Linked DNA regions of Drosophila melanogaster. The protein of the gene in region 1 interacts with the protein of each later gene in a pairwise test. Each region holds a gene or a part of one and is shown on either strand. Other genes may lie near its edges.

The links.
Region 2: the proteins of Cyp4s3 (region 1) and Sesn interact in a two-hybrid assay, tested with the Drosophila melanogaster proteins (one large-scale study listed by BioGRID).

Annotation. Positions count from the first base shown.
Region 1 is NC_004354.4:15,112,509-15,118,193, reverse strand, and holds Cyp4s3 (cytochrome P450 4s3), read left to right. Parts: upstream 1-1,651; 5' UTR 1,652-1,821; coding exon 1,822-1,972; intron 1,973-2,268; coding exon 2,269-2,722; intron 2,723-2,789; coding exon 2,790-3,496; intron 3,497-4,086; coding exon 4,087-4,262; 3' UTR 4,263-4,892; downstream 4,893-5,685. UniProt on the Drosophila melanogaster protein: May be involved in the metabolism of insect hormones and in the breakdown of synthetic insecticides.
Region 2 is NT_033778.4:23,712,092-23,717,185, forward strand, and holds the start of Sesn (sestrin), read left to right. Parts: upstream 1-1,808; 5' UTR 1,809-2,027; intron 2,028-2,574; exon of another isoform or gene 2,575-2,589; 5' UTR 2,590-2,808; intron 2,809-5,094. UniProt on the Drosophila melanogaster protein: Functions as a negative feedback regulator of mTOR function.

The DNA.
Region 1 (5,685 bases):
ACAAATAAAAGCATATGTAGCTTTTGGCCTAAAGGTAAATATTACTTACAATTATATTACAATTCTAGTACATTTTAAATACACTTATTTTTTTGTATTAGAAAAAGCTTAGATTTACTTAGCTATGCTCACTGTCACAGCCTAAAAGTATTCAAAATAATCTAAAAAATCCAAAAAGCTTTTAGGGAATGCAAATTTAGCAAGCTTAACATGCACATTAAACTAATGAATACCAATATATTTTTCTTAATTATTATAAATAAAGTAATAACTTATCAACCATTTTTGCTCAAGTGCACATAACATAAATCTAAACAAATGCCATCCGCGAATGATAAGCTTTATGTAAAAAAAAAAAACTAGGAAATAGTTGTGATAAGAACAATGCAACTTATTGAAATAATAATATAAACAGATTAATTGATCAGCCAGTAATCAGTCAGCCCCTAGGTTAAACTATCAAATTCAGTTAATTACATTGATTAGCTTGGATTGCCAGGTGTGTGGTCTTAGTTAGCTTAAGTTACTAAGGCAATAAAAAAAACCTTGTGAACTTTCAGTTTTATAGTTGCAATATTACCTGATTGTAAAGTTTCACAAGATAAGATATGCCGGAAAAAAGGAAGATATAGTTATATAATTATATTCTTTTATATTTTGGTACACAAACCAATTTCAGTTTACCTAACCATGAACTTTGCTCTCACTAACATTACTACTCCTAATGATTAAGTTGTTTTCCACCTTAAGACAAAATGATAAGATTTCTTTATCGTGAAGAAAAAGAACCAGTTCTTAAGAGCAGTTTTACTATAACTACTTAAAAGAAATCCACATGTTCTAAGTGGGTCAACGCCTATCACATATCTGCCGTTCGTACGATGATTCGCTGTAATAGAACTCGTTTTTGGGTCTGACACTGCACTGATGCAATGATAGCCCCTGACACGTTCCGTCGTCCACCGCCATAGGATCCTCAATTTGGCGAGCGGTTCGCTACACCTGTTCGATCGTATGCATACCTTTGAATACTTTTTATTAAATTGAAATATGCATTTGAAGGGTTTAGGCTACATACTCGTATACCAACGTAAACTTAATAGTAAACAGTAATATTTATCATTTTAGCACATATTTAAAATGTACCTTTTTTTCACTCTAAAATTCCCCGCTTAATATGTCATCATATAGTTTCGAGCACGTAAGTTTTTGTTTATGACCAAAGTGGTTTTGGGCGTACTTTGAACAATTAATCAGATTGCCTACGCAATATTTTGTAGCTGTTTGTAGGTCAAAAAGTGGTCTGATCTGAGAAAAGAAAAAGAATGCCTAAAAGAGAAGAAAAGAGAACTTGCAAAATGGTATTCGAAGAAAACTAAATTAATACCGGTTCAATTAAGATAGTAGGAATAATTATAAACTATTAATCTATAAATGCTACAGGCCCAAGTGATGCTACATATTTTCGGAATCACGATCCGTTCGATTCATAATTCCGTTCTCATAAACCTGGTGGCCGCCTATCCGCCTATCGCCAATCGGAGGGCATCCAGAGTGCCCCACCTTGGCGATCTGCTATCTGTTGAGACCCAGAGCTCAGACCATATACCACATACACCGCACAAATCAGACAGCTGCGTTCCGAGTGCGAATTAGTTGTAAACGAGCCGCGACGTCGAGCAGTTCGCACAAACTTTAAGTTCGCCAGCAAGTCGTCCAATATCGCGAGCTCATCACATTTTACCAAGCTTTCACTTGATTTATATAGCCATCGTTTTTTTGGGGTCGTTGAGCCAGTAGTGGACTAAAATCGGTGGCGAAATGAGCACATTGGCACTGGTGGCTTTCGTCCTTTGGGCAGCTTTTCTACGCTACCTACCCAAGATTCTGAATTTTCTGAGACTTCAGAGATTTGCGAAAACTCTGCCGGGTCCCACGATTGGCGAACTGATTGCCAATGTTAAGAAAGGCGGTGAGTTTGTGCAAAGAGAATTGATTAAGTGAATTTAATACCCATGAAATGGTTCTACATTTTATCACGCATACGCAGCGTTGCCCTCGCTGGTATAATTCTACTCGCATGCAATTGGCATAACTTATAAGGTCGTGCTATCTTTTTGTAATCGTATCTTTCGTAATATTATGTGTGCTTTATGATTTAGCTAACAACAATTAGAAGTTAAATTAATGACTTTTTTAACTGCTGCTCATTTCAGTTTTCATTTAATAACTAATAACTAAAGTCACTTACCTTTTTTCGTTACCCAGAGATCCTTAACTGGCTAAAGGAACTGAGGGAGAAGCATGGTCCGGTATTCCGCATCTGGTTTGGCAAGGATCTGATGGTTATGTTCACGGATCCGGAGGACATTAAGCAGCTGCTCGGCAACAATCAGTTGCTGACCAAGTCGCGAAACTACGAGCTGCTCGAGCCCTGGCTGGGCAAGGGTCTGCTCACGAATGGCGGCGAGTCCTGGCATCGTCGCCGAAAGCTCCTCACTCCGGGCTTCCATTTCCGCATCCTTAGCGAGTTCAAGGAGCCAATGGAGGAGAATTGCCGCATCCTGGTGCGTCGTCTGAGGACCAAGGCCAATGGCGAATCCTTCGACATCTATCCTTATATTACCCTATTCGCCCTGGACGCCATCTGCGAAACGGCCATGGGCATCAAGAAGCACGCCCAGCTGCAGAGCGACTCCGAATATGTGCAGGCTGTTCAATCGTAAGTATTAAAAACTGTTACATGATTTCATTAAAAATCATATTTTTTATTTAACTCCCAACCACAGTATTTGCCGTGTGATGCACAAGCAGAGCTTCTCCTTCTGGCAGCGACTCAACGTGTTCTTTAAGCACACAAAGCCCGGAAAGGAACGGGAGGCAGCTCTAAAGGTGCTCCACGACGAGACCAATCGGGTGATCCGGCTGCGTCGTGAGCAGCTCATCCAGGAGCGCAACGAATGGAAACCAGAAGCGGAGCAGGACGATGTGGGCGCCAAGCGGCGACTGGCCTTCCTCGACATGCTGCTGCTCACCCAAATGGAGGGCGGTGCGGAGCTGAGCGATACCGATATTCGCGAAGAAGTGGACACCTTCATGTTCGAGGGTCACGACACCACCAGTTCGGCCATCGCTTTTGCACTGAGTTTGCTGTCTAAAAATCCGGATGTACAGCAGCGCGCCTTCGAGGAGGCCAGCGAACTGGAGGGCAGGGAGAAGGAATCGATGCCGTATCTGGAGGCGGTGATCAAGGAGACGCTGCGCATCTACCCCTCGGTGCCGTTCTTCTCGAGGAAAGTTCTCGAGGATCTGGAGGTGGGCAAATTGACGGTGCCCAAGGGCGCCTCGATAAGCTGCCTCATCTACATGCTCCATCGTGATCCCAAGAACTTCCCCGATCCGGAGCGATTCGATCCCGATCGCTTCCTGGTCAACGAGAAGCAAATGCATCCGTTTGCCTTCGCCGCTTTCAGTGCGGGACCCAGAAATTGCATAGGTAAGATCATCTAGGCACTTACCCAGTTATCTATTATCTAACTTAAAAAGTTTGTTTTAAAATTGAAATTGAATCCAAATTAACCTGCGATCTTCTTAAAACTTTAAAGAGTATAACCGAAATATAACAATCAGCAGATAAAATCACATCCTTGAGGTCACAGAACCCGAAAATACTTATTAGAAATTGCGATTTCATATTTGTAATATATAAGGACCGAAGGTCATTCGAATTGCTTTCCAAAAAAAAATTTCTTAATTTAAACAATTGATAAGAACGAAAAGCTTTCGGTTGCCTTGTTCACAAGAAGATCACACACTTTAAAATAGGTTCATTTATTATTAGAGAACTGAAAATATATTTATAAATTAATTGTTGATAATGCCAAGATTATTTCACAATGCACATCACTCACAGACTAAAGTTCATAAACATGAGCTGAACATTTATGAAAACACAATGCAGCTAAAGATTATTTTAAAGAAGCGCCCAAAAACTAAATGACGTCAGCAAAGGCTTTATGGGGATTTTATTACTTACTTAGTTGTTTGTTCATATGACTCTAGTTTAACTTGTTTGTTTGCTTTCAGGTCAAAAGTTTGCCATGTTGGAGTTGAAGACGTCGCTAGCGATGCTCCTGAGAAGCTATCGCTTCCTGCCCGACAAGGATCATCAGCCAAAGCCGTTGGCCGAATTGGTGACTAAAAGTGGAAATGGCATTCGACTTCGGATCTTGCCACGGGATGAGAACGGAACGACAGCATAAAGCCATTATCTCAATATGATTTCTAGTTTTTTTTTTTTTAGGGCACCATCATGTCTAGATTAGGTTAAGCTAACGATATAGTGAACAATGAACAACATTTCCAGCGTAGTGACGCAGTTTGAAAGGCCCAGCTGGGGGCCCATTTCTTATCACTTACAACATTGCCATATTGTTTTTATTTTTTTTTATTTCTCGCTTTGAACTTTGAAAAATACAATCGATCATATACATATATACACGGCTAAAGAGGTATGTATATATATATATATATGGGTGCTGGGCTTTATTTGTGGTTAACATCCAGAGCCAGCTAACAAAAAAATAGTTATATTTTTTATATATATTTTCAGATATATATATATATATATGTGTGTGTATGTGTGTATTTTGGATGTACGCCGATCTCCTTTTACAAACTACATACACATACACATACTTATTGCTCTCCAGAGTCCCCGTTAATCCAAAACTCTCCGTCGTCCGTGCTCGTGTTCCCTGACAATTCCTTAAACTACCGATCCCAATAGATCTGAACTTAGGACCACTTCTTGCTGTCATACAATCTCTTAATATTTTCTGTACGAACTAGTTAAATTCCTTTACCATAAATATATATTTATATATATATATATTTACTTTATGTATGATCGTAGTTGTCTGGTAGATATTCACATAATATTTTAATATTTTGTTTGTTAGTTTGAATTTAGTTGGTATAGTATACTATATCCCTAACTAGATTGCCTTCAATTTCCGTTTGTGTTTCGTTTGTTGTGCCCTCTCAAAGGGCCCCACAGTGAAGTCAAGTCCCGATCTGAGTGTATATATATGTATGTATGTATGTATATATATATTTGTCATTATCTATGTTTTAGGTAGTCGTAAGCGAGTTTTTGTTTTTGTTTGGCGCTTTCTGCCTTAAAGCTTAGCAGGAAACAATTTGTCTATGGGATTAGTGAGAGGCGGCTAATGATATGATTTGGCTAAAGTATAATCGATTACGGTACATATATATATATATATATATGTATATAGCATAACTGATGGATCGCGGGGCTTTCGCGATCCGTGCGGAAGAGGAAGATTGGAGAATACTGTAACTTTGGCTCTAGAGACCAAGGACAATACCACGTTTATGCGCACGCTTAAGTTTAAGATCCATATTGATACTTCGTGTATTTACAGACAGCAAAACTTTGCAATTTTGTAACATAATTTGTTCACCACTATGTTTAAATATATATATTCATAGAGTTGATTGTTTTGTCTTTAAGCATATGTCTACTTCTCTAAGAAGAACTTTTATTTCAATTAAAGCTTGACTTACTAAAATATTGCACATGTGAAAGTTTTTTGAAATTATGAACAGGAATGATTAGAAGCATTGTTTTTGACAAAATCTTCTTTAATGTTATTATTTATT
Region 2 (5,094 bases), on another chromosome or scaffold:
TCCCATTGCTGATAAGCGACTTCCCCCACTCCGCCGCTGTAATGCAAATCAACAGCATTCGGCCTATGATAGTGATAGTGGCGAGCGGCGAGCAGTACTTTGCACTCGAGTGCTTATTAATTTCTCTTGCCAGCAGCGCACTCATTGCCTTTGCATTTTATTGTCTCACGATCTGGCTATAAAATGAAAATGGGGACGGGTACTTTATTTATCGCCGCCACTTATTGCAGTTCGTATGATACTCGCTCTATGGGCGGAAGAAACGGAGGCGGGGCAGTTCAGAGGCTCTCGAGCCGGAAAAAGTCTCTGTAGGGTAAACAAGGCGGGTTCCATGGCTCTGCGAAGTCTTTCTGCCGAGCTTCAGGTACAGTGGAGGTTCTACTGTGTGAAAGTGTAGTTAATACCTAAGTTCGTAAAGTTGCTAGTGCCATTTTTGCTTGCAAAGCATGCTTTGTTGAAAACCATTTGATATCTTGCTAGAAGCTTTCAGTTTAGTGACTCTACATCCCTACATGCTGGCAGTTTCGAACAGTTTTGAGCTGTATTCCAGTGAGGATTAATCCCATTTGAGTTCGAAACTATCGCCTCTTGTGCTGATTATTGTGGACAGAGATATTGGATCACGACACAGAGGGCTGACTGTGGCCTCTTTGCTTTTGCTTTGAGCTTTGAACGCCCGCAAATGCTGACTATTTTGTTGGGCCCTAGCATGGTGATAGAATGTGGGAGGGGGAAAGGGGCGTGGCAAAGGGGGAGTAGGTTGGAGATAGGAGGGCTAGCGACTAAAAAGTGTTGATAACCGGGCACACATTTGCATCCACAAACACTGCGACGCACACACGCACACCCTGCTTTCTAGGCCTCTGCCATTTAAGTTCAATCATTTGGAGCGTCGTCGCTGCGTTGTCATTGTTGTTATTGTTGTTATTGTTGCTATTGTTGCTATTATTGTTATTGCTGCTGCTGTTTGTGTTGCTGTCGCTCCATGTGCTCCTCACATATGTTGAACTAAAAAGAATTGGAGGAGCAGAGAGGCAGGGCGAAGAAAAGAACTGTACATTTGTACGGGGTGTATTGGTTTAGTTGGGTACCCTACGCTACAGAAGAAAGTAGAAGGTTGAGAAGGAATATGTCTCCTACTTTTCGTGCGTTAGCACGCTTTTGTAACAAGTTTCAATAAATAGATTATAGAAACTATAAAAAGCAACAATTCGGATATGACAGTCTCTATATCTTGTTTTGTGTAGCGTATTCGGCATGCAGCTTAGCTCTCACCCTTGGCAACGGCAACAAAGTAGGTGCAACAAAGAGTCATAGCGACCGTCTCTCCTGCGCCTACAGAGCAACTCTCCCCACCCCCAGCCCCTCAGGAAAATGGTCAGACTGCTTCTGCCTCTGCCTGTTGCTGCTTTGCCTGCTCTTTCTGTCCCACACACTTGCTCTCTCGCTCGTTGCTCGTAATAAGCTTACACAGAAAACAAATAATTGAAATCTAAAGAAGTTCTCCTTTAAATTATTAAACGCAAAGGTATAATTAGATACAATGAAAATAAGTTTCTTGCATGCAGATCCTTTTAAGCTACGAAATCGCTGTTAAAGGCCATATAACTAGCATTGCATTAGTTGGTGATTTAAGTGCTTGACTTTTCGCGCAGTGTGGCGCACTCTCTTCGGCTCTCCGCCCCCGTCAGCTGTTGTTGTTGCACTGTGGGGCTTTGGGGCTGCGATACCAGCTGTTTCGTTTCGTATCGTTTCGTTGCGATTCGTTTCATTTCGTTTCGCCGCGATTCGATTCGAGTCGAGCTGCTTCAGTTGAAGTTTGTCGCTGGCCGCGTTCAGTTGTCCGGCTAGAAAAGCGGAAGACCGGGAAATCCAGACGCGCTACAGACGCCCGATATCTGCTCCCACTCTCAGCGCAAGATCGCGGGAAATCAGGAAGCTCCGAAAACATCGGATAACCGTTTTTATTTTTATTCCCCTTTGGTTCGTTCTCGCCTCCGTTTCTTCTGTTGCTTCTGTTACTTCTGGTAATTTCCATTTCCCTCGGGGGGATACGCGCTCAAACGCAACTGCAGGCGGCGCAAAACAAGAAATGTAGATAGCGCCAAAAATTAAAAAAATAAGAAAAATAGAGAAAAATAAAAAAGCGAAAATCATTGTTATTGCATGGAAAATTACTACAGAAATCTCCTGCAAAGCAGCCCAGTCAGAGTGGCACTAAAGCAAACCAAACCAAATCAAACCCAAAACTGAGACAACAACAAGGCGGCGGAGCATAAATTAGATTGGCCTCATAGTCGAATAATAACGAGCTCGAGCCGCGTAAACAAATTAAACGATGCTGACCGCCGTTGTTGTTCAAATTTAAATATAAACTATTATTGTTATCTCTGCGCTTGCCGTTGTCTATTTTCGCGCCAAATGCAATCGGTTCTTCGGTTTTTTCGGGGTATTAGGGGAGAGGGCATTACATAATTAGTGAGCGCGTAAATTAAATTATAAACGAAAACGGACGAAAATCGAGTACCAACTTTCTTCGTTTCCTCTGATCAAAACAATACATTTTATCCACAGTTTTCGTGTCTTAAGTTTCGGAGCCCTTCGCCGATTTCCAGCAATTAGTTACTACATCATATATGTTCTGTGTTATCAAAAACGCGAGCGAAAGAAGCGCTCTATCTGCGATTGTAAAGACAAACACCACAAGAAAGTAGCTGTGTGCCCCTCGGGCAAATGAACCGAAATTAAAGGAGATTACAAACATCGCTATCAAGCAAATGTAGAGACTGTTAGTCCGGCGAACAAAGGGTAAGTAAGAAAGGTTCCATCTATACAGTACTCCAGTTTTCCCCAATACATTTGCAAATGTCCTTTGAGGCCAGGACTGTTACTAAGAGGCTTTTCCGATGAAATGGAATGTTCCTTAGGGATTGTCGTAATGGAAAAAAACCCAAGGCACTGCAAGAAACAAAATGCACTTTAGAATTGGTTAAAATATATCCTTAAGCTGGTATTCCCCTAACATAGGTTGCCACTCGCATTTATCTGCAGTGCCCCACTTAATGTCTTCATACATAAATAACTGGCTATTTTTGAATATTTGAATTCTCTATTGAATCTATAGAGAAACCATTCCCTTCCCCAGTGCACAACTCTCGACTGGAGTAGAAGCTCATGCTATTGGGTTTGCAGCATCGCTTCCCACAAAATCCTCACAAATCTTTGGCAGATTGCACATGTGAAACCTGCGGTTGTTGGCCAATTCCGGCTGTTTTCCCATTTTTTGGCCAGTGCCAGGGACTTTGCGGATTGACGGGCTGTCAAGTCAGCGCAACAGGTTCCTGGGCCAAGATGCGTATACAGAAAACAGAATCGAATGGAAGACACACTGATTCAATTCGTTCAGTATTGGATTTGCTGCTGCCACACAACTTCAAGTTGAGGAAATTGGCACTTGACCTACCGCACGGGAATCTAAATTAGGCGGCGTGTTCGCTTGCCGAGCGTTTCGCCCTCTCTTTCCGCCCCACTGCGAAGGCGAAGCCTCGCACGCGGTTTTTGGTAAACTGCTGAGGGCATTTGTTCACTTTGCTGGCTGCGTTTGTTTACGGTTTCCATTACCCGCTTCTCGCGGCTTCAGCTTTTTCCAGTTCTATTTCGAGTTGGCCATCCACTAATTAGGCAGCTTGTCGGGCAGCATTCGAGTTAAATGTTCGGCACTGCAAATGACATGGTCCTTGCGGCCATACACACGATACTATCCATTGTTACACTCGTACAATACATGCGGTGAAACAATCAAGTACGCCGACATGGGCGTAATTCGCAGACAAACAAGAAGAACGAAAACGAACTGAGCCTGCGAATTAAGGCCCCTGCTCGGCAATGAATTCTCTTCGCCATGCCAGGCCATCGGCCATCCCGGCGTATACGTAATGCTACGGGCCGAAAAGAATTGAGGAATGGCTGGCAGTTAATGCCAATTATGATAAACGGTTGCTATGTAGCCGTCGCACACAGATACTCTACACACTGGCGCGCGCCACACAGATACTCACGCAGATACAGATACTCATGCACTCGCACTCGCACAACTGTTGCTCGCGATGTTGTTGATGTCTTTTAGTTGTTGCCAGGCGCATTAAGATTGCCGCTTGTGCTTGTGTGTGTGTTTATGTGTGTTGAGTGATTGGGTGTACGAGTGTGTGATGGGAAATCACTTGAACCATCGGCTGAGAGGGCAATTGATATGTGCTTCCATCAATGTTGCAATCAGTTAAGCGGCTTTCGAGCGCCAGAAACAACTGAATCGGTCTGTAAACTCAATCGAATTCGTCCTTTTGCGACAAAAACAACAGTCATGGTCCTTCCAATGACCTGCGGCCACTACCATTATTAATTCGATCAGCTGTACGCTTCGCAGATTCCAGTAATTCGATAAAAGTTTATTTAAGCACTTATTTGAACAGATTCAAATAAGTAAATTGAAAGTTTAGTACATTATTTCATGTTTAATGCGGATAGTTTAAAAGTTGTGTTGTTTGTTGTATCCGCGAATGCTGCTTTAATCATAGTCATTTCTATGGGCGCAAGACGAGGTGACTGAACTCGCAACAGCAACTGCAGCAGCCACTACAACTGCAGCAAGTGCAGCAGCAACACAATTGCAACTGCAGTCTGTTAAGCTTGCTTGCCGTTAATTTGTGCAATCTTCTACTTTTACCTACTTATTACAAGTAGTCACAAACAAAACTGAGTATTTTCCATGCCGTTTTCCCATGCTTCAGATTCAAGGGTATTTACGCATGTTCTTCAGCTAACTGCAAGCATAATCCAAGTGGGAAACTTTCTGACTTACCCATAATTGTAAAGACTTAATTAAAAGAGTTTCAATAACTAATCAAATGGATTTCCCTCACAGCGCACATAACTCACCATCCATATCAGTATATCAGTAGCCTAATAAATGGCGATTGGCCCGACTTAAGTCAAGTGAATATATAAAAAATCTAATCGCCAAATATTGTTTATGGTGGTCAAGTACGATTAGAAGTTCTTTGGAAAAGCCATAGCAACTGCCAAATTCAGATTTCT